Linked DNA regions of Yarrowia lipolytica. The protein of the gene in region 1 interacts with the protein of each later gene in a pairwise test. Links are inferred from orthologs where the notes say so. Each region holds a gene or a part of one and is shown in the gene's direction. Other genes may lie near its edges.

Region 1 (6,892 bases):
CCACCCCCAATGGTCCGACCCCAAGAAGATTGTGGCTATGGACCCTTATGGTCATCTAGCTCCCTGGCTCTTTCATGAGACGATCGCGGAAGGAGTTGTAGTCAAGCCCACCATCGCTGTTACTCGTGCGCAGATGCAACTAGCCGAAATCAGAGACGAGGTCAGAGACGGAACCATGGAGGTTGATGGCGAAATTGTGCTCAATAAGAGCGGAGATCTCGCGGTCACCAAGGTGGCCGTGGAGCCCGTGTGGTATCTGCCCGGAGTCGCCGAGCGATTCGGAATCACGGAGGGGGAGCTTCGACGTGCCCTGTTCGAGGACACTGGAGGAATGTACCCCGAGCTGGTTACCCGACCAGACATCAAGGTCTTCCTACCTCCCATCGGAGGCCTGACGGTGTACATTTTCGGCGACCCAGACCGAGTTTCGGACCCCTCCAAGAAGTTGGCTCTCCGAGTCCATGATGAGTGTAACGGATCCGACGTGTTTGGCTCCGATATCTGCACTTGCCGACCCTACTTGACCTTTGGTATTTCCGAAGCAGTCAAGGAGGCCCAGAAGGGTGGCTCGGGAGTGGTCATCTACTTCCGAAAGGAGGGACGAGCTCTGGGCGAGGTGACGAAGTACCTAGTGTATAATGCGCGAAAGCGAGGAGGCGACTCAGCTGCCACGTACTTTAAGCGAACGGAGAACATTGCCGGAGTTAAGGATATGCGATTCCAGGCACTGATGCCCGACATTTTGCATTTCCTGGGTATCCAGAAGATTGACCGAATGCTGTCCATGTCCAACATGAAGCACGACGCCATTGTGGAGCAGGGTATCCCCATCCACGAGCGTGTGCCCATTCCCGACGAGATGATTCCTCCGGACTCTCGAGTCGAGATCGATGCCAAGATTGCGGCTGGCTATTTCACCACCGGCGCCGTCATGTCTGAGGAGGAGCTCAGTGGCGTCAAGGGTCGAACCTGGGACGATGTTGTGCATTAAGGGGTTAGATAGTAGCATGTATAACAGATATAATTATAGCAGATAAAAAAAAAGTAGTGGAGATGTGGTCACTGGGAGGTAATGAGTGCCCCTCAAGGTAATGGTATGATGAATTGTACGGTATGTATGGCGTAAAAGTACAGCTGTAGAGTATGTGAGGTGCGGGCGTTTATTTACTGGTACTTGTATGTCTGCCGGTTAAGAGCTGTTATGCAAGACATGAGGAGCGCTTTACCCAGATATAGAAAGAGATTGCCCTGTAATACTTGTATATACCGGTAATTAGGTGGCAATTGACACGCGCATTTCCATATCTTCGCCCAATTGAGTGCTTATATCGTTATCACAGTGCACAGGCTCCAAGTGTTTACTCACGATGTTTACGGTGAGGGAAGCACGTACATACTGTATAGGATGCGACCATACAGGAAACTTCTTCTTACCATATCGACGTTTCGGAATGTGTCTGACATGGACAAGTGGAGGGCACTGGGCGCTTTTTGGTCCAACCGTTGGAAAGTACAAGACGGGGTTTGGTGCTACTGTACGTGTACTTGATAGATAGTTGCGCTACGGCACGATACAATGTACGAGTATGTGCAGAGTGCAGTTGATATCGCCACGTACTGCATGTGGGTTGCTGTACACTGCGGGGCACGGCCTGACAACCCCGTTTCTGCTCGTACTCGTACCGGAACATGGACCAAATATAGCTCTGAGAGATTATGTGGGTTGCGGCAGGCAATTTCACCGGAGTTAAGCATCGCCGAGATACGAATAAGGTGTAAAGGGGCGGCATTTTGGGACGAGCACTTTGGGACGTCCACGAGGTAAACAGACACAAGCCACCCGCGATAACCTTGAGTTTGGGCTATTCAGACAGAGCTGTGCCCAGAGAGGCGGGGAATGAGCTCTTTCCAGATGTTTGCGCAGCGTTCTCTCTCAACTTATCTCCGTCGCTTGCTTTCCATAACGCGCGAATCACATGTCAAGGGCCAGGGTTTTACCCGATCCCAAACATTGACCAACCTTGTTTGGTAGATGGGGGGGAAGCGAACCGGCAATATTCCACAATGTGCTGGCATTTACTTGTGCTGGCAAAAGAGGCACAAAGAATACTTGTAGTCGGAGCCACTCACTGTCCCACAAATAGCTCCCCGCTGTCAATCTCTCCTGCACCGCCTGCTCACATGGATGCTAAGCCGCACTAGGTCGCATATATGGCTCTGCACTAAAAATTAGGGGTCAACCACAGTGCGGTATTTTTAGATTCGCACCAAGCAGCGAGTAAGCAAAAATACGCCTACCGGGGTCCGATATTATTCAGGAGGTGCCATTAGAGGAGGGCAGATGAGAGTCGGATATCGGAGATATTACCGAGGCTATAATTACCCCATCCACGCCTTTCACCCCTCCCACTCTCTCCCTCACCGCACACCAACCCACCACTTTCAAAATATACCGCAACATTGACATAATCTCCGGTACAGTGGTTAGCACCGAGAGGACCCCAAAAAGCTTGGGGGAGATAGAGGTAGGCTTTTTTTTGTCAGTCAAATCGTATATGCCAATACACACACACACACACACACACACACACAGTTTCGTACATAACAGTATATTGGAAGGGAGTGTGCTTGGCAAAGACAGGAGAAGACGGTGCTGTTAGAGGGCAATCCAGACGGGCTAGAGCTCTGTAACTTTCGGATCGATTTCAATTCCTCTAGAATACCAAATACCAGTGGTTAAGCGGCTCATTTACCAGTCCTAATACCCCCTCCACCAGCCACCTTCCCCTATTCCTCGGCAGTGCTTTTTTACCTTTGAGATGTGGCCTTGTCTCCGTTACTTCCCAACCGTGAGTGCTGTGTGGTGTGCTGGACAGTGCGACATAACTAACCCTAACCCAGACGAGCCAGCGCACCCCAATTTTGTGTTTGCCAACTCCTACTTTTCTCCTCTCCTCCATCGGTATTTCATCGACAAATCTCTTTGCTACCAACAACCACACAAATTAAAAATGGAAGGTGAGTACTACCAATGCCATCGATGGCACAGCGGGCTTTGCCATCATCGATTGTCTGGATTGATGGCGAGTCGGTCCCTGGATTGGACACAAAACCACAAATGGCGCTTTCTCCCCAGCGACAAGTCATCACCACCAACATGGCGACCAAAGCCACGGGCCAGCAAGCGAATCAATCCATCATCGAACGGATGGAGCTGCGAGAGCGCTTGCGAGCCCAGAGCGTCCGTCTTGCCGTTGGGCACCTTCGCGCTTTGCGATGACGTGTCACCACACTGATAATGTCGCATGCTGCCGCGCATGACCCAACCAGCCCCCGGAAAAGCGCAATCCATCAGCAATCAATCAATCCATCAAATAACCACACCATACTAACCTAGACGAAACTGTTGCCCTCGTTATCGATAACGGATCCGGTATGTGCAAGGCCGGTTTCGCCGGTGATGACGCTCCCCGAGCTGTTTTCCCCTCCATCGTCGGTCGACCCCGACATCAGGGTGTCATGGTCGGCATGGGCCAGAAGGACTCCTATGTTGGTGATGAGGCCCAGTCCAAGCGAGGTATCCTGACCCTCCGATACCCCATCGAGCACGGTATTGTTACCAACTGGGATGACATGGAGAAGATCTGGCACCACACCTTCTACAACGAGCTCCGAGTTGCTCCTGAGGAGCACCCCGTCCTGCTCACCGAGGCCCCCATCAACCCCAAGTCCAACCGAGAGAAGATGACCCAGATCTTCTTCGAGACTTTCAACGCTCCCGCTTTCTACGTCTCTATCCAGGCCGTCCTCTCCCTGTACGCCTCTGGTCGAGTCACCGGTATCGTTCTTGACTCTGGTGATGGTGTCACCCACGTTGTGCCCATCTACTCTGGTTTCTCTCTCCCCCACGCCATCATGCGACTCGATATGGCTGGCCGAGATCTTACCGACTACCTCATGAAGATTCTCTCCGAGCGAGGTTACTCTTTCACCAACTCCGCCGAGCGAGAAATCGTCCGAGACATCAAGGAGAAGCTCTGTTACGTTGCTCTCGACTTTGAGCAGGAGCTCCAGACTGCCTCCCAGTCCTCTTCTCTCGAGAAGTCCTACGAGCTTCCCGATGGCCGAGTCATCACCATCGGTAACGAGCGATTCCGAGCTCCCGAGGCCCTCTTCCACCCCTCCATGCTGGGTCTTGAGGCTGCTGGTATCCACGAGACTACTTTCAACTCTATCATGAAGTGTGATGTTGATGTCCGAAAGGATCTCTACGGAAACATTGTCATGTCCGGAGGTACCACCATGTACCCCGGTATTGCCGAGCGAATGCACAAGGAGATCTCCGCTCTTGCCCCCACCTCCATCAAGGTCAAGATCACCGCTCCCCTCGAGCGAAAGTACTCCGTCTGGATTGGTGGTTCCATTCTTGCTTCTCTTGGTACTTTCCAGCAGATGTGGATCTCCAAGCAGGAGTACGACGAGGCCGGACCCACCATTGTCCACCGAAAGTGTTACTAAGTGTGGTGATTGCTGTTGTGCAAGCCTTTGCTCGTTTTCTGCTGTATGTAATTTAAAGAACGATTGTATGAATCGAAGTCAAGGTGAGTGTAGTTTGAGAAGTGTAACCCCAGTGTCATAGCTGTGTACTCCATTCATTGAAGGGTGTAGTCGTGTTTTATTGCATGAGCTCCTATTACTCGTATAAGTAACTGTTTTGTAACACTTCATGAACGGAGATGGTATGAACAGAAGTAATAATATCCTGGAAGTCAGCTGTGCCCAGAGGTGTGTGTGGGTGTGGCATACTTTGGGACAACAACACTTGGGCAGTATGCTTAGTGACCACGAAGAGAGTGTTACCTTCTGAGGTGCGACGTGCAGTAGTTCTATTGTTTTTAAATGCGCAGTCGTCTTTCAGAGGCTGATTCAAGCAGACGCATTCAGTTGTGTTCAGTTGAGGCTGATATCTCAGCACCTACAGTTTAGGGAAAGCAGGGTTAAGATGATGACAACTCTGGGTGGTAACCTGGGATATGCGGCGATATAGCAGGTAATGACTTAATAACTGCTCAATGATGAGTATATACATCCCTCCTATCTATATATCCATATTTAGTATTTACATATTCATCTTCACCGAGCTACAAGTAGAAGGATGTACATGCTGTATCTTGCGGTGCCTGTCGCCATGTTTTCGACAAGTTAAGTTCGGAGTATGCATGCAAACAAAAATACAAGTAGTCAAAATATTGGAGTATCAAACAACGTGCTTCGAAATCTCTTCCATCCGCACAACTACCAAACGACATGGTGGCGAAAACGTTTCGAGAGGAGCCCGTCGGCGGCACCCATCAACAAGTGGAATACTTGTTTCCCAACGTGGAGATTGATGGCTCGAAATTGATCACGAAAAAGGTGGTGGACGAAAGAAAGCGAAAACTGGAATCTGACGATGCCGAGGAGGTGTTTCTGCGACGCTACGTGTCCAAGGAAGGGCAGATGTTCCAGAGCTCGACCAATGGCGAGTTTTCTGTGCGCTTCTTCGACGAGTCGCACATCATGGAGGTGACTGGAGTGAATCACGATCGCAAGAGTGTGCGTATCTATTTTCCCGAGGGACTACAGAACCATTGCACGTGTGTGACTGAAAAGGATGGGGTTCTTTACATTGATTCCATTTCAAACAGCTTTCTGCTGTACAGCGTGAAGCTGCCATTTGCTCTGTTCAATGAGGACAACACCGAGCATTACGACACCTCACGGTTCTTTCAGCAGCAGGAGGACTACGGCATTCGAAGCCGAAAGCCGCTTCTTCTCAAGTCGCTCAAGGGCCAGTCCAACGAACTTGTGCTATCTTTATGCGACGGAGGACTCATGAAATTGGAACGACAAGAGAAGAACGGCCTGTTTCTGACATCGTTATTTTCCGACCCCTCGTATCTCACGAGCCTCAAGGACCGGTTCTTCAGCAAGGACAAGATTGCGTCCATGCCGCATCTCAGCATCCACGCTATTATCTCTATGACAAACTTTGAGAACCACCTGTTGACCGTGTCTGTCAACCAGACTCTCAAAAAGTGGGATCTGAATACTCTCACCGGCACAGAAATCAAGTTTGACAGCGACAAGAGCAAACTCGACACTGAGCCTGTCACTCGAGTGTGTGCGTCGGGCGAGTTCTTCATCACCTTTTGTGGAGAAACCATCTACTTCTGGGATCAAAACTTCGTCCAGGTCTTCTCGTCCAAGATCCCAGACATTGGACTATGGTCGCTAAAGGACATGGCGTTCCGTCAAAACGAGGGTCAGTTCGAGGTCTCCACCGTGTGGATGTCTGGTGTGTCCCACGTTGTCAAGAAGGCTACAGTAAACAGAAATGGAGACATCCAGTGGTCTGAGTGTGGAACACCTCTTCGAATGCTCCCACCACTCACAGTCCACGACTACGAGCGTGCCGTCTCTCTTTACAGCGTGCCCCTTCTCAAGGCTGCTCTTTCCATCTTCTCTCGACATGGAGGAGGAGGAAACACCATCAGTGAAGCCATCTCGTCACAGCTCAGACTCTACACTAACCACAGCGGTCCCGACTACACTGGCTACGCCAAGGACCAGGTTGAGGCTTGGAGCAAGTTTGAAGGTATCTGCCAGGAGCTCAGCAGACAGGCTAGTGCATGCATCGGAAGCAGTCTTTCTGGTGCCCAGATCTATATTCTAACTGGAACCGGTGTGTCTACCATCCGACCTTCCACTGAACTAGAAAAGCTGTACGATGAGAGAAACATTGATGGCTCCAACTTGTCCAAGCTCATGTTCACTATTGATCGGTTCACTCAACAGCTGACAAACCGAGCTCGACGAAATATTGTATCGTTCATGGAGGAGGACATCCTGG
Region 2 (6,726 bases), on another chromosome or scaffold:
ATTAATTGATTTATTATTTATATGATACAAGTAGTAGAATGTATAGCTGGTGTAAAATGAATGTGTATTGAGCGCGTGAGTATCAAGCCGACCACGCAACTGTAGCAGTAGAGACGTGAAGGTGCAACGCGAAAGTGGTAAACATTGGTGGGAGTGCTTACTGAGACATTCGAGGGTAGGACTTACGACAGAAGCCAAGTATAAGCGACTTACAACATAACTGTGCTACAAGTACAATAGTACGATCCCTAAGATTCCATCTCATAGTTGCTTGACGTGCACATTGTACAATAAGTAATTAACCCACCTGGATTGTGCAGCTGTGCTGTCGTTGCGACGGCAATAATCCAGTATGTACTGTACACCCACTACAAGTACTGTACCTGTAGTGTGTCTTTAAAGATCCGTGGAGTAGTTTAACAGTATTTACAGTACGTCCACAATGCATGTTAGAGGTATAAACAGTTTAGTGGCTCTGGTTCAAATTGCAAGGAGAAAGAGAACTTCCACGCTACTCATGATGCTTTGGTCTTGGCCGTATTGGGCGTGCACATCTATGGGGGAATAGGGTATAATTATTGCTGTTTCATCGTTGCTAGCGGCTGCGTACGATAGCTGTAACAGCGGCTGGTTGTATAATTAACTAACCCCCTACCGTAGAATTTTATGTTTGATTCAAGATTATGAGTGCTGGTCAGAGTTTACGAAGTTCATCGTAGGTACTGTACTTACAGTAGACTGGTACGCGTGCTGACAAGGGATCGTGTCTGTGGAGTGATGTGGCGTGAGGGGAGTTCGGGAAAGATAGTGGGCCATACAAGAGGGTGGTAGTACCGTGATAACGTAGTGTATGGTGGAACTTGGGCTGTTCATAGGGGGTGTTTAATAAACATTGTACGCTACTGTACCTGTAAGTACTGCACCGACCCGCGCACTAACCCGACACAAGAAATGTGCCTCATTGGCCTTGGGCTTATCAGTGAGTGATGTGGCCTATGCATGAGCGAATGGGTTGTGTGGCATAGATGTTTTGACGCTGACTGCTACGTAGCACGTAGTATAGAGGACGGCGTCAGTTTGCGGAATGTAAACGGAATGTGTGCGTGTTTGAATAGTAATAATATCCGGTCCAGTTGCCCCACGCGACAGTTTTCCCCTGTTGGCCTATTATGTCCTTTATGCCCTTGAAGTACAGTTTCCAGCTCCCCTGGGACGATTCGATTAGGGGACTTAGTTTTGGCAACGTCAGTGGGAGGGGAGAGGTGGGGCACTCGTAAGTCACAGACGGCAATAGGCGGTGGAAATATACAGAGTATTCGATGGTAGAGAAACGACTTTCTCAGACGAGAAGATTTCACAAGCCCTCGTATTCCGCGCCCCCTGGCTCACGATACACCACAGAAGCGCTCCGTGGCACACCTTTGTGCATAAAAAAGCATAGGCTTCTGTAAGCAGCCTTCTCGTTTGACACCCAAATCCGAAACCCTGTCGCACAGCACAACTCACCACCTCACATATCACACTCCACACATACACACCCACACAACACACCCACATTCTCACACTCTCACGCCCCCACCACGCTCCTTGAACAAGCTCCCGCCCTAGCCCGTGCACAGACCCTCAAAAAGATAAAATGCAGACCATAAAATGTGTTGTTGTCGGCGATGGTGCCGTCGGAAAGGTGAGTATAAAGACAAAACGCCAATTATCAAGGTTCTCGTGCTCCGCCACGATCACGATGTCGTTCTGGACGATGGATTAATGGCCCTGGAGAGCTCCTACTAACGCAGACTTGTCTCCTCATCTCATACACAACAAACAAGTTCCCCTCTGAATACGTTCCCACCGTTTTTGACAACTATGCCGTGACTGTCATGTGAGTATAACGCGTCGCATTCTGCAAGAAACCAAGCCCCCCCCCCCCCCCCCCCAAGCAACGAATCGAGATACTAACCCCAGGATTGGAGACGAGCCCTACACACTCGGACTGTTTGACACCGCCGGTCAGGAGGATTACGACCGACTGCGACCTCTTTGTTACCCTCAGACCGATGTTTTCCTCGTCTGCTTTTCCGTCACCTCTCCCGCCTCCTTTGAGAACGTCAAGGAGAAGTGGTTCCCTGAGGTCCACCACCACTGCCCCGGCGTGCCTTGCCTCATTGTTGGTACCCAGGTTGATCTGCGAAGTGACAGGATGATTCTTGACAAGCTTTCCCGACACAAGCTGCGACCCATGACCACTGAGCAAGGCTACCAGCTCGCCCGAGAACTCGGTGCCGTCAAGTACGTCGAGTGTTCTGCCCTTACTCAGAAGGGTCTCAAGGACGTTTTCGACGAGGCCATCGTGGCAGCTCTTGAGCCTCCAGTGGTCAAGAAGAACAAAAAGTGCATTGTGCTCTAGTTTTTGCATGCTAATGGGTTAACACAACGAAAAATGAATCAAAGCAAGAAAAAAATGTTTCAAGATATGTTTATTGTAGTAGAACTGGGCTTGGATTGTGTCTACAGGGCCTCCGTGAGGGAACCTCAAAACAAAGCATCACTATGCGTTTCAAGCCTCGAGATGCCACCTGATGTCTGTAGTTACCCCATTTTTGACATATATATTATTGAATATCCAAAGGTAGAACCTGACGCGTGCTTGTAGTGCTGCAGTGGTGTATTATTTCCCCTGTTGGGTCATCATTACACGATAAGTACAAGTACGGATAGCTTCCGCCTCTACAATTAAAAGACACGCCCCACCCTTATTAAGCCAGCACATCGCTCAGGCAGATGTTTGAGTCCCGAACTCTATCCTAAGAAATCCATCGAAAAATAGTGGGTGTGCGTACAATACCCTAATATCTACCTTGGTGCAGAAAATCTAATCAGAACCTACCAGAACTACACATCTACACTCACGACATTGACGTTGTACTACGACCCTTACAACTATGTCCACCATGTACAATTCCCAACCGTCGGACACTTTGTGTGAGTATTTGCGCTGGACTGTCGCCACCCGTGCATCCGAAGTTCCCTTCTAACCCAGTCCTTAACGGAGAGAAAATCTCAGGCCTTGAAATCGGCAGCCAGAACGTTCTGGCCTGCCAGGCCATTGCCAACGTGGTCAAATCGTCTCTTGGTCCCGTTGGTCTCGACAAGATGCTTGTCGACGACATTGGAGATGTCACCGTGACCAACGATGGTGCCACCATTCTGGCTTTGCTTGATGTCCAACACCCCGCCGGTCAGATTCTCGTGGAGCTGGCACAGCAGCAGGACCGAGAGGTTGGAGATGGAACCACCTCTGTCGTGATCATTGCCAGTGAGCTGCTTCGTCGAGCCCACCAGCTCGTCAAGGTCAAGGATGTCCACCCTACTACGATTATCACTGGTTACCGACTCGCTCTGCGAGAGGCTCTGCGGTTCATCAATGAGGTCATGAGCGTCCCCGTCGAGTCGCTGGGCAAGGACACCTTTGTCAACATTGCCAAAACCTCGATGTCCTCCAAGATCATTGGATCCGACTCCGACTTTTTCGCTAACATGGCTGTTGATGCCCTGCTGGCCGTCAAGACCACAAACTCGCGTGGGGAGGTTAAGTACCCCGTCAAGGCTGTCAACATTCTCAAGGCCCACGGTAAGTCCGCTCTGGAGTCCGTTCTTGTCAAGGGATACGCTCTCAACTGCACTGTCGCTTCCCAGGCCATGAAGACCCGAATCCCCAACGCCAAGATTGCCGTGCTGGATATGAACCTGCAAAAGGCTCGAATGGCCATGGGCGTGAACATCACTATCGATGACCCCGAGCAGCTGGAGGCCATCCGAAAGCGGGAGTTCGACATCGTTCTGGAGCGAATCCGAAAGATTTTGGCTGCTGGCGCAAACGTCATCCTCACCACCAAGGGTATCGATGATCTGTGTCTCAAGGAGTTTGTGGAAGCTGGTGCGATGGCCGTCCGACGATGCAAGAAGGAGGATCTGCGACGAATCGCTCGAGCTACTGGAGCCACCATGATCTCTGACATGTCCAACCTCGAGGGAGAGGAGGTCTTCGAGTCCTCTTACCTTGGCCAGGCCGAAGAGGTTGTTCAAGAGCGAATTGCCGACGACGAGTGCATTCTCGTCAAGGGCACCAAGGCCCACCCCTCTTCCTCCATCATTCTGAGAGGCTCCAACGAGTACCAGCTTGACGAGATGGAGCGATCCATCCACGACGTTCTGTCTGTCGTCAAGCGAACTTTGGAGAGCGGTTACGTCGTTCCCGGAGGAGGAGCTGTCGAGGCTGCTCTGAACGTCTACCTGGAGATTTTTGCCACCTCTCTGGGCTCCCGAGAGCAGCTGGCTATCTACGAGTTCGCCAACGCTCTTTTGCAGATCCCCAAAACCCTGGCGGTCAACGCCGCCAAGGACTCGTCAGACCTGGTTTCCAAGCTGCGAGCACGACACGCCCAGTCGCAGACTGCCGCTCTCACAGACACCAAGCGACGAAACTACAAAAACTGCGGCCTGGACCTGATCCGAGGCAAGATTGTGGACTCTCTCAAGGCTGGCACCATCGAGCCTACCGTTTCCAAGTGCAAGTCTCTCAAGAGTGCGCTTGAGGCGTGCATTTCCATTCTGCGAATCGACACCATGATCAAGGTGCAGCCTGAGGAACAGAAGGAGGACCCCCACGATCATTAGAATATAGAAATTTAGGGTTGGATATGGACATAGCGCATATGTGAACGAGATTAATAAAACGATTATGAGTGCTTGTAGGTGGTATGGCCATCTATTTGGACGTGTGGGAAGCTGAGTGTTCAGTGAGGGTCTGTGCGTTCTGGAACATTCCTTGCTATGGAGCTTAATTGGTTCCATCTTGGCGTTTCTGTGCTACTTCGACGAAGTAAAGGCGATTGTATTCTTGGTTGCGCCGTACTAAACAATGGTTTGTGTTCCCATGCTACTGTCGCGGCGGTGATTGAGCTTGGGAACCTCAATTTCAGACAAAGGAATTTTTCCTCCGTTCGTGCATAAAAGCTTAAATTCCACCCTCAAAATTCATCAAAATTCATCGAAATCCACCTTTTTCGCTGGCAAAAGACAGACAAAACAGCTCGAAATTGTATGTAAACCTTAAAAATACTTAGAGAAATTCTCAATTTCTCAATCAATACAAGCTTCTGGCCCATCAAGTCAGCTCAGCACATCAATTCCATTGAAACCATCTATAGCAAAACAGTACAAAATACGAGGAGACTTAGTGATGACGGCTGCCAATCATGGATAACCCGTCTCTGCTGCCGCCCAGTCCCGGCCTCGTGGGGGTGCCGCTGGGGGAGCCAGCCTCTCTTCCAACTAGTTCAAGCATGCCATGGTCAGCCAGGAGCCTTTGGGCATTCTGGAGCGCCTCTGCTGATGGCAGATTCAGCTTCAGGAAGAAGCCAGTCTGTGATGTGGGTGTCTCGTAGGGAGTCATGGTATCCTGCTGTGCCAGTGAAAACACATTATCGGGGGTATCCTGGATCCAGGACGCGGAGCCGGGGGTATCAAAAAGACTAAGGGTACCGACGGAACCAGGGACATCTGAGACAGCGAAGGTGAAATGGTGTCCACAGCGACGTCGAAGCAACCGGGACCGCCGCAATCATCGTCAGAAATGACAACGAGGTCAAGGTAGCGACCAGGCTGTTAGAAAGGGGTATCAAAGACGCCAGAGAGCGGGGACGGGAGAGCGTTTACAGCAACGGGTTCTGGAGACACAGTGGGTGGTCTTTGCCCTAAAACTTGACTGCTCCTTCGACTCTTCATCCGGTTGACCTTTGTCGCCTCCGTTGTTATTCGCAGACTGATTGTCAAACTGAACGTCCTCAGAACATTCCCAAGCACCCTTATAACATGTCCAAGCACCCTCATAACATGGCCAAGCCCATGGATTGTAAACTGCTCCAGGTATGTGGCTGCAATCCTTAGGGCTGTTGTCGTACGTTTTGGAGTTTCGTTTAATCGCATATCCAGCTGTCCAGTTGGCGCGCATCTCTAGCTGTTTGTCGTGTTCCTTGACCGACCGAGGAGTGTTGATCTCTGGAGAAGACGCCGAGTTCGTGCACCATTTCCTCCTCGGTAATCTCTCCCTTTTCAACTCTCTCTTCAAGCTGGACACGCATATTTCCGAGGGCATCAGCTTTGGCTCTGGGGGCATGCTTTCTGCCAGAGATGTTTTCAAATTCTCTTTTCCTCTTTTGGGGTACCCGAGCTGGTGGATTTCTTGGTTTCACATAGTCGTGGAGAACCTGCTTCACCACCTCATCGGAGACGGAATAGTGGGGCTGATCGGGAGCTCGTTCAGGCGCTTCAAGGGGATCAATATCGCTATCTGAAGCATCAAGATCCCACATTTCAGTATCGGATGTTTCATTATGGGGTATCGCTAACGTGGGTGTCGCTGCCGCAGGTATCATCGCTACAGCTGTGAGTATCGCTGAGCCGGGGCCGTTTGGTGACTCTTGGGTGCCGTCGTGAGATGTCTCGGCTCGAGGTATCATTTCAGGTATCAATCAACTTGGCTGTGTATCTTTCTGTCGAGTGCTACGTCTCGTTGCGATTATCGAGTAGGAGGGTGTCATAGAATTGCCTAGCTACGACCACCTACAGACACAAATCCACCCTGCCACACTCCGAATGTGAGGACCGACCTTGCATAAAACCTTAAACCTTAAATTGATGTTCCCAAGCTTGATCACCGCGGCGACA
Region 3 (7,004 bases), on another chromosome or scaffold:
TTGGGCATTCCCCAACCATCGCAGATGTAAGTATCTGGCAGCTTGGGGTTGATCTGCCTTGATACTATAGCCTGAGCCTTTTCGTCCACCACTTCTGATCCTGGAATGAAAATTTGCAAAGGTGACACTCCAGTCACCTTTCCAGGGCCAACAATGACGACGGCGGCCCAGTAGATGAAAACCAGTGTCTTGAGAATGCAATAGACAATCAGGAGAGCCAGCCCTGCCCGGTAGCCCATGTGGTGGTAGAGGTTCCAGCAGAGAATGTAGCAATATGCGTAGGTGCCATATCCCAGGAGTCCGAGAATTACGCCTGGGAAAACGATTCGCAGTGCCTGTCTGAACGCTGCTCTGTTCATTTCATGGTCAAGTGTGCTGGATAAGATGATGAGAATGTAGACAAGGTTCCTGGTGTAAACAACTCTATTGCCAACTGAACACGGGAGCAACCGCACCTTAGGAAGGTCGTACTTGCGGGGTATGAGTGATGTGAGCGGGGTTTTACCAAGTCAGATTCTGAGAACCCACCGGCAAGCCTTTTTGGAAGAATCTGGACAACTCCAAGGAGATTACAGACTGAGTGGCAATTCACCTTTGTAGAGAGACTTCCATGAGCTACCCCTATAGCTACTTAGAGATCGCTGAGTCTTATTTTGAAAGACTTACGGTTGAGACGTGGTAATGAGGCGTTTTAGCCAAAAAGATTTTACCAGAATGACACACAATATCGCATGAGTGATTTTTCAAACTAATCATCATACGAGTAGATACAGTACACACTGTCGTACTGTACGTACCTATAACACATTCCATCTTCAAGCTGCATGTTCTCAGCGTTTATGCATCTGGTTTAGAGCTCAGCGGTTGTCAGGCTAAACTCCCAAATCAAGTTGGGTTTGCTTGCAGCTCATCCAGGTGCTCTTTGGAGCTTATTAGACGGTCAACTTGGCACGATATCATCATCACACCTCCACCACAACAGCTATCAATATGAGTGAAGATGGGGATATATGCCCGATCTGCAAATCCTCGCGGTACCTCAACCCGGATATGAAATTTCTAGTCAATCCTCAATGTTACCACAAAATGTGCGAATCGTGTGTGGATCGACTTTTTGCCTACGGCCCAGTGACATGCCCTCACAATGGCTGCGAAAAGATTTTGCGAAAGAACAAGTTCAAGACCCAGATCTTCGAGGATGTGGCTGTCGAGAAGGAGGTCGATGTACGCCAACGGGTCATGTCGGTCATGAACAAACGAGAAGACGAGTTCGACACGCTGAACGACTACAACGCATATCTGGAAAAGATTGAAGACAGCATCTTCACGCTGTTGAATGGAACCGCTGACGAAAAGGACGCATTGACCAAGGAGATAGAAGCATACGAAAAGGAACATAAGGCCGAGATCATTGCCAACAACAAGCTCCGAGACGAGGAGGACAAGTATGAGCAGCAGAAGGAGGACTGGATGAAGGAACAGAGAAAGGCAAACTACCTCATGGCTGTGGAGGAACAAAGGGCAGCTCAGGAGGATAAGGAGGCTGCCAAGCGAGAACTGGTTCATCAGCTCGCCACTTCCAACAAGGATGCCTCTTCCATCGAGCAGAATGTCCAGAAGACAGCTCTCAAACGATCCTCAGCTCGAACAGTCAACTTCCAACCCATGCCTACATCTCGGTACTTTGAGAAGGTCAAGAAGGAAAGCTCGAAGCCCGAGACGCCCTTCACACCCTTCAACGGTGACAGGCAGATTCCCGCGCTGTTTGAGGTACAGGACCATTACGACGACAAGGTCATCGAGCCTCTGGCCCATGACATTCAGCATCAGGCCGGAGGTTTCACTCTCAAGGCAGCATACGCAAGAATTCTCCAACAGGCCTTTTTTGGTCTAGGTGTGGATGTTCAGACCGAGCTGTTGGCTGAAGAGAATGGCAACAGCAACGGCACAGCAGTACCTGTCAAGACAGAAGAAGACCCGGTCAAGCTGGAAGAGCCATCGATACAGGTCAAGGTGGAATCCACGGTATAACAACAGTATTTATATGCATTATATTTGAACAACAATGAAGTATTTATGACTTGTGTATACTACTTGTAGCAGGTAATTGTACTTATAGCCACGGTACCTGTACAGTAATCAGCTAATAGAATGGTGTTTATACAATGCATTTGTTATGGTTGCCCAAGTTTGTTTTCATAAATACGACCGTCCGCGGCTCCATCTAGCTGAATCCACGTAGCAGAAGAGCTCCAATGGCTGCAGTCTCCACCTGAGCTCTATCATCTAGAGAGACTGTTCCTGGTAACTTGTATACCTTCTTGACGAGCTTGATATCTGTGTTCTTGGCAATCTGCTCGTCAGTAAAGGGCTCTTCGGTTCCCTCAACCAGCTTCGTGTACTCTCCTCCGCCAATCTTGACAGCCACAATGTTTGTGGTATCGTCCTGAATTCCAAATCTCCTTAGAGAGTCCATGATGTTGTTATTCCCTCCCAGACAGAACAGCACCTCTGAGTGTACGTTTTTTGTCTTCATGGAGCCGGCTTCCTGATCGGAAACGGCTCTGTAGACGGCTGCGAGCAGATGCTTGGACGAAAGCAATGTGTTGGCATTAATGAAAGCCACCTGGTAGTCGGGGTTACCGCTTAACAGCTCGTTTCGAATCTGGCCGGCATTCTTGACGTCTGAAAAGTAGGAGATGGCAATCTCCTGGTCGAACTGGGGAAACTTCATGTTGTGGCAGTGAATCACACGATCTGACTAACGTAATGCTTTTGAAGAGTTCGGGTATAGGATAGTCTGGAATTTGATACTCAGCTGTGTGGATTCCAGATACTGGTACTCGTAGGATTTTCCTGCAGATGGTGGAAGATAAACTTCGGAGGTCTTACCACAAGTAAGACGGTGGTTGGTACGTGGGATATATGTGCTGTATTGTGAAAGAAGGGGTTCTACAGACAGCGATTGTTTATGAAACATTCCAGTTGATTTATTAAGCAGCACAAATTTCAAAATTTGCCTCAACTATTGACAGGTATCATTCTACTTGTACAAGTACGTAATGTACAATCATCCTGCCACCACTCCTTCACTCTCCTATTAATAACTCTATCTTCGGTGCTGCATACATCTCCCAGTTGGATACATAAACAGCATCCATCTAAACACCTCAGCACCAATTGTATAATGATTTCTCCAGGTGAGTATGCCAGAGATCCCCGTAAGAAGCCCACTAACGCCAGTTAAAACCTCCGTGGCTTCTCCGGCCACCACCAAGGGAGTTGCCGTGCATCTCTCCTACAACCCCAAGACCAACGAGGTGGCTTACGCCAACACCAAGGCAGTGCTTCTGGTGAATCTCGACAAGCCCAACGAGGCTCGGCAGTTCAATGGCCACATTGCGCCAACCACCGTCGCCAAGTTCTCTCCTTCAGGCTTCTATGTCTGCTCCGGCGATCAGGCTGGCAACGTCAAGGTCTGGGACCCTGTCTCTTTCAACATCAAGTACGAAGCCAAGATCGGCAATGGTCGAATCAACGATCTCAACTGGGATGCTGACTCTCAGCGAATCATTGCTGTGGGCGACGGCACAGAGAGATACGGTCATTGCTTCACTTTCGACACTGGTAACACTGTCGGAGAGATCTCTGGTCACGGAGCTCAGGTCAATGCTGTCGCCATCAAACCCGTTAGACCCTACCGAGCTGCTACCGTCGGCGATGATGCCACTCTCGTCTTCTACAAGGGTCCTCCCTTCAAGTTCGACCACACCGTTAAGCAGCAGCACAGCAACTACATCCACGACGTTGCTTTTTCCCCTGATGGAAAGTGGCTTGTTTCGGTTGGAGCTGACAGAAAGGCCGTTCTTTATAACCAGGATGGTGAGCCCGTCAAGACTATTGACGCACATGGCGGCTCCATTTACTCCGTCTCCTGGGCCCAGGATTCCACCCACTTCGCTACCGCCTCTGCAGACAACACTGTCAAGGTCTTTGATGTCGAGGGTAAAGAGATTGACACATTCAAGTTTGACCAGTTCCAGGTCGGTGTAGTCTGGGCTGGCGATTCCCTTGTGTCAGTTGGACTGGACGGCACCCTGTCCTTCTCCTCTGTGAGCATAGATGCCCTGTCCAAGCTGTCTTTGACTGAGTCCAAGGTCATTGCCCACCAGCAGCCCATTTCTGCTGTCGAGACTCTCAAGGGCAAGATATACTCTGGCTCTGTTGACGGATCCATTCTCGAGTGGACCGGTGACAAGGCCTCTCCTTCTGACGCCTCCCACTCTACTTACATTGTCTCTCTCAGTGACTGTGATGGAAGCCTGGCATCAGTTGCTTGGGATGATACTTACAAGCTCAACAACACAGTCTACTCGATCGGCACCCAGCCCAAGGCTGCCGATTCTCGAGGTTCTCTCTCTGCCATCGTGACTGAGAACACTCTGCACATCCTTGATAGCGGTAAGCTTGTCAAGAAGGTTTCTATTGATCGGGGCTCTGCTGTTGCTATTGCTGACCAGGTTGTTGTGGGATCTAAGTCGGGAGAGCTCTCTGTCTACTCTACAACCGGTGAGAAACAGTTTGATCTCCCTCCTCTTCGTGCTGCTGCCACAAAGCTTGCTCTTAGTGAAAATGGTAACCTTCTTGCTGCTGGCGAGTCCACTGGTAAGATTATCCTATACGACCTTTCAACTAAGTCTGTTGTCACCTCTCGATGGACCTTCCACACCGCTCAGATCAACGATATTGACTGGCTTGGAAACGAGTACATTGCCTCTGTTTCTCTGGACACAAACATTTACATTTACTCCGTCAAGACCCCCATGAAGAACCTCAAGTCTCTGAACGCTCACAAGGAGGGAGCCACCGCAGTGCGATGGCTGGCAAACAACGAAATCGTCACTGGTGGTGCTGATGCTGTTCTCAAGTGGTGGTCTGTTGAGCTTAGCTAAAGGACATAACACTGTACAAGTACAAGTAGACGAAATTCATGAATCAATGCAACACACTATTATTATATATGCTTGTCTCGAAGACTAAGCCATGCATGTCTAAGTATAAACGATTAGCGCGTCTACTTGTAGCTCATGACTATGCAGGTTTCTACTGTAATTAAACTATAAATACAAGTACATACTGTATGTACTGTAGCCTTGTATTCTATGTATTTGTTAGGACACAGGCCCGGACTTCGGTTGGTTTGTGGTTTGACAGGTAATGCCGGCGACTTGCCTATGGCAAGTCGTTGAGCAAATACTCGTGTTGAAAGGGTCAATAATCGATATCCTAAATATATGGGAAATGAGAGCTATATATAATAATGGCACCGGACCAACTGACGGATCTGTAACTCGGCGGTCGAGTCCTGGGGGACTCGATCGACCCCTACGGTAGTGGGTCTTTGACCGGAAGGGTGACTACAAGGATCCCCAATAGAGAGTTGACAGATAATCAAGCACCGACGACTGTCGACGGTCCTTATGCCACAGGCACAAGAAACACCAAAAGAAGATCGTTTCCTAACAGGCGACCATCATAGTAAAACAGCACGAGAGCGCTGACGACCAACAGTCTTCTGGTGCTAAGCTTAAAATACTGAATAAATCGATTTGTATGTATGTATGTATGTTGTTATCGGTCGCCCATGTATTTGAGGTACTGAGGAAGACAGTTTTCAGGCATCAGAGAATCCTTGAGATCGTCTGTGGTGAATCGACCAGGCTTGCATCCATGACACTTTTTGGACTTGGGGCAATTGAAATAGGGGAAGTGGTAATATCCAATGTCCTTGAACCAATGGATTTGTGACTGGTTAGCAAATAGTCCTGCGCCGACAGAGTGCACGGGAGCATCTCCCCATCTCTCGTAAAAGAACCCTCCCTGTTTATCCAGATGCTCAAACCATTGGGCGTATGCATCGCCCCTGAAGAACTTCAGAGACGCGATTTCAAAGTTGGACCAGAAATGGCAAGTGGAGTATCCGCCAGCCTGGGCGTTCCAGTCTGGTCTGCTGGGGTTCAGCAAGAATTGCATGGCATTGTCTTTGTGCAGATACTCCTTGTTCTTCATCAAGAAGGATTTAGTTTCCGGCCATAGGGTGGCAACGGTTTTGGGGTTGTCAAACAATGCAATGGTGAAGCCATACACCTTGTCATTGTCCTCCATGTATGCAAATACATCGTAGTCGATGTCACAATAGTATTGGGTGTCGGGTTCAACGCGCCAGTACCAGTCATAATCGTCCATGGCCTTGTGCTTGTAGAACATACCCGAGTTCCATCTGCACATCTTGTGGTAGGAGTCCATGGCACCATATCGTACACCAGCATCTTCCAGCTTCTTGCCGGCCTTCTTGGCCTTGTCCTTGTCGATCCATCTGGGGGCGTCCCAGTCCTTCTTTTCAATCAGCTCAAACTTGACTTCAGAGTCAGTCTGTTCGCGCACCTTTTCCTTGAACTCGTCGGTGAACTCTTCATCATTGAAAAAGATCCAAGGGTAGCCGAATTTGTGATTGAATGTGTCCTCGACCTGCACCATGGCATCCACAATACCGTCCAGCTCTTTGTTTCGAACAAGAGAGATAAGAGCGGCTTTAGTTCGCCGCGTGTCAGTGGCGCGAACAAGAGGCTTGGCACTGACAGGCTCGTCCACCTCTTCAAGCAGGGGATTGTTCTTCGGCGTTAAGTCCTCTTTTGGTTCCGTATATTGCAGGAATGCATCGTTGGGTTGCTTGTAGATGCTCTCCTCTTTCAAGAAGTCCGCATGTGTTCTGGTCCAGTCATCTTGTAACGAGAAGTAGATCAGGAACACGAGCAGACCGAGCGAAGCCGTCACCAGCAGCAGGAATAGTCTTCTGACTATCAGCGGGGTCATATTGTTAGGATGTGGTCCTGTCTCAATCGATTATAGTTAATAAACCTGTCGCGACACGCGAACACTAATCTAGTGTGGGCGTTGTAAATATGTCCCAACCAGGAATCGAACTGCGGGATGGAAAATTCCTC

The links. The genes of interacting proteins can lie anywhere in the genome.
Region 2: the proteins of YALI1_D10600g (region 1) and YALI1_B20730g interact in binary tests that used the Saccharomyces cerevisiae proteins (3 or more experiments, as listed by UniProt). The link is inferred for Yarrowia lipolytica from reciprocal best matches to the Saccharomyces cerevisiae genes ACT1 and TCP1.
Region 3: the proteins of YALI1_D10600g (region 1) and YALI1_E02377g interact in binary tests that used the Saccharomyces cerevisiae proteins (3 or more experiments, as listed by UniProt). The link is inferred for Yarrowia lipolytica from reciprocal best matches to the Saccharomyces cerevisiae genes ACT1 and AIP1.

The regions. Positions count from the first base shown.
Region 1 is NC_090773.1:1,057,027-1,063,918, forward strand, and holds YALI1_D10600g (actin), read left to right. Parts: upstream 1-3,011; coding exon 3,012-3,018; intron 3,019-3,397; coding exon 3,398-4,518; downstream 4,519-6,892. Other genes in the region: YALI1_D10565g (uncharacterized protein), read left to right, coding at 1-991; YALI1_D10623g (uncharacterized protein), read left to right, coding at 5,308-6,892. UniProt on the Saccharomyces cerevisiae protein: Actins are highly conserved proteins that are involved in various types of cell motility and are ubiquitously expressed in all eukaryotic cells.
Region 2 is NC_090771.1:2,070,069-2,076,794, forward strand, and holds YALI1_B20730g (uncharacterized protein), read left to right. Parts: upstream 1-2,939; coding exon 2,940-2,979; intron 2,980-3,037; coding exon 3,038-4,674; downstream 4,675-6,726. Other genes in the region: YALI1_B20709g (uncharacterized protein), read right to left, coding at 682-859, 904-1,001; YALI1_B20717g (uncharacterized protein), read left to right, coding at 1,637-1,684, 1,794-1,879, 1,963-2,404; YALI1_B20765g (uncharacterized protein), read right to left, coding at 5,976-6,518. UniProt on the Saccharomyces cerevisiae protein: Molecular chaperone; assists the folding of proteins upon ATP hydrolysis. Known to play a role, in vitro, in the folding of actin and tubulin. In yeast may play a role in mitotic spindle formation.
Region 3 is NC_090774.1:234,513-241,516, forward strand, and holds YALI1_E02377g (uncharacterized protein), read left to right. Parts: upstream 1-3,206; coding exon 3,207-4,952; downstream 4,953-7,004. Other genes in the region: YALI1_E02348g (uncharacterized protein), read right to left, coding at 1-359; YALI1_E02355g (uncharacterized protein), read left to right, coding at 991-2,031; YALI1_E02372g (uncharacterized protein), read right to left, coding at 2,225-2,734; YALI1_E02413g (uncharacterized protein), read right to left, coding at 5,632-6,873.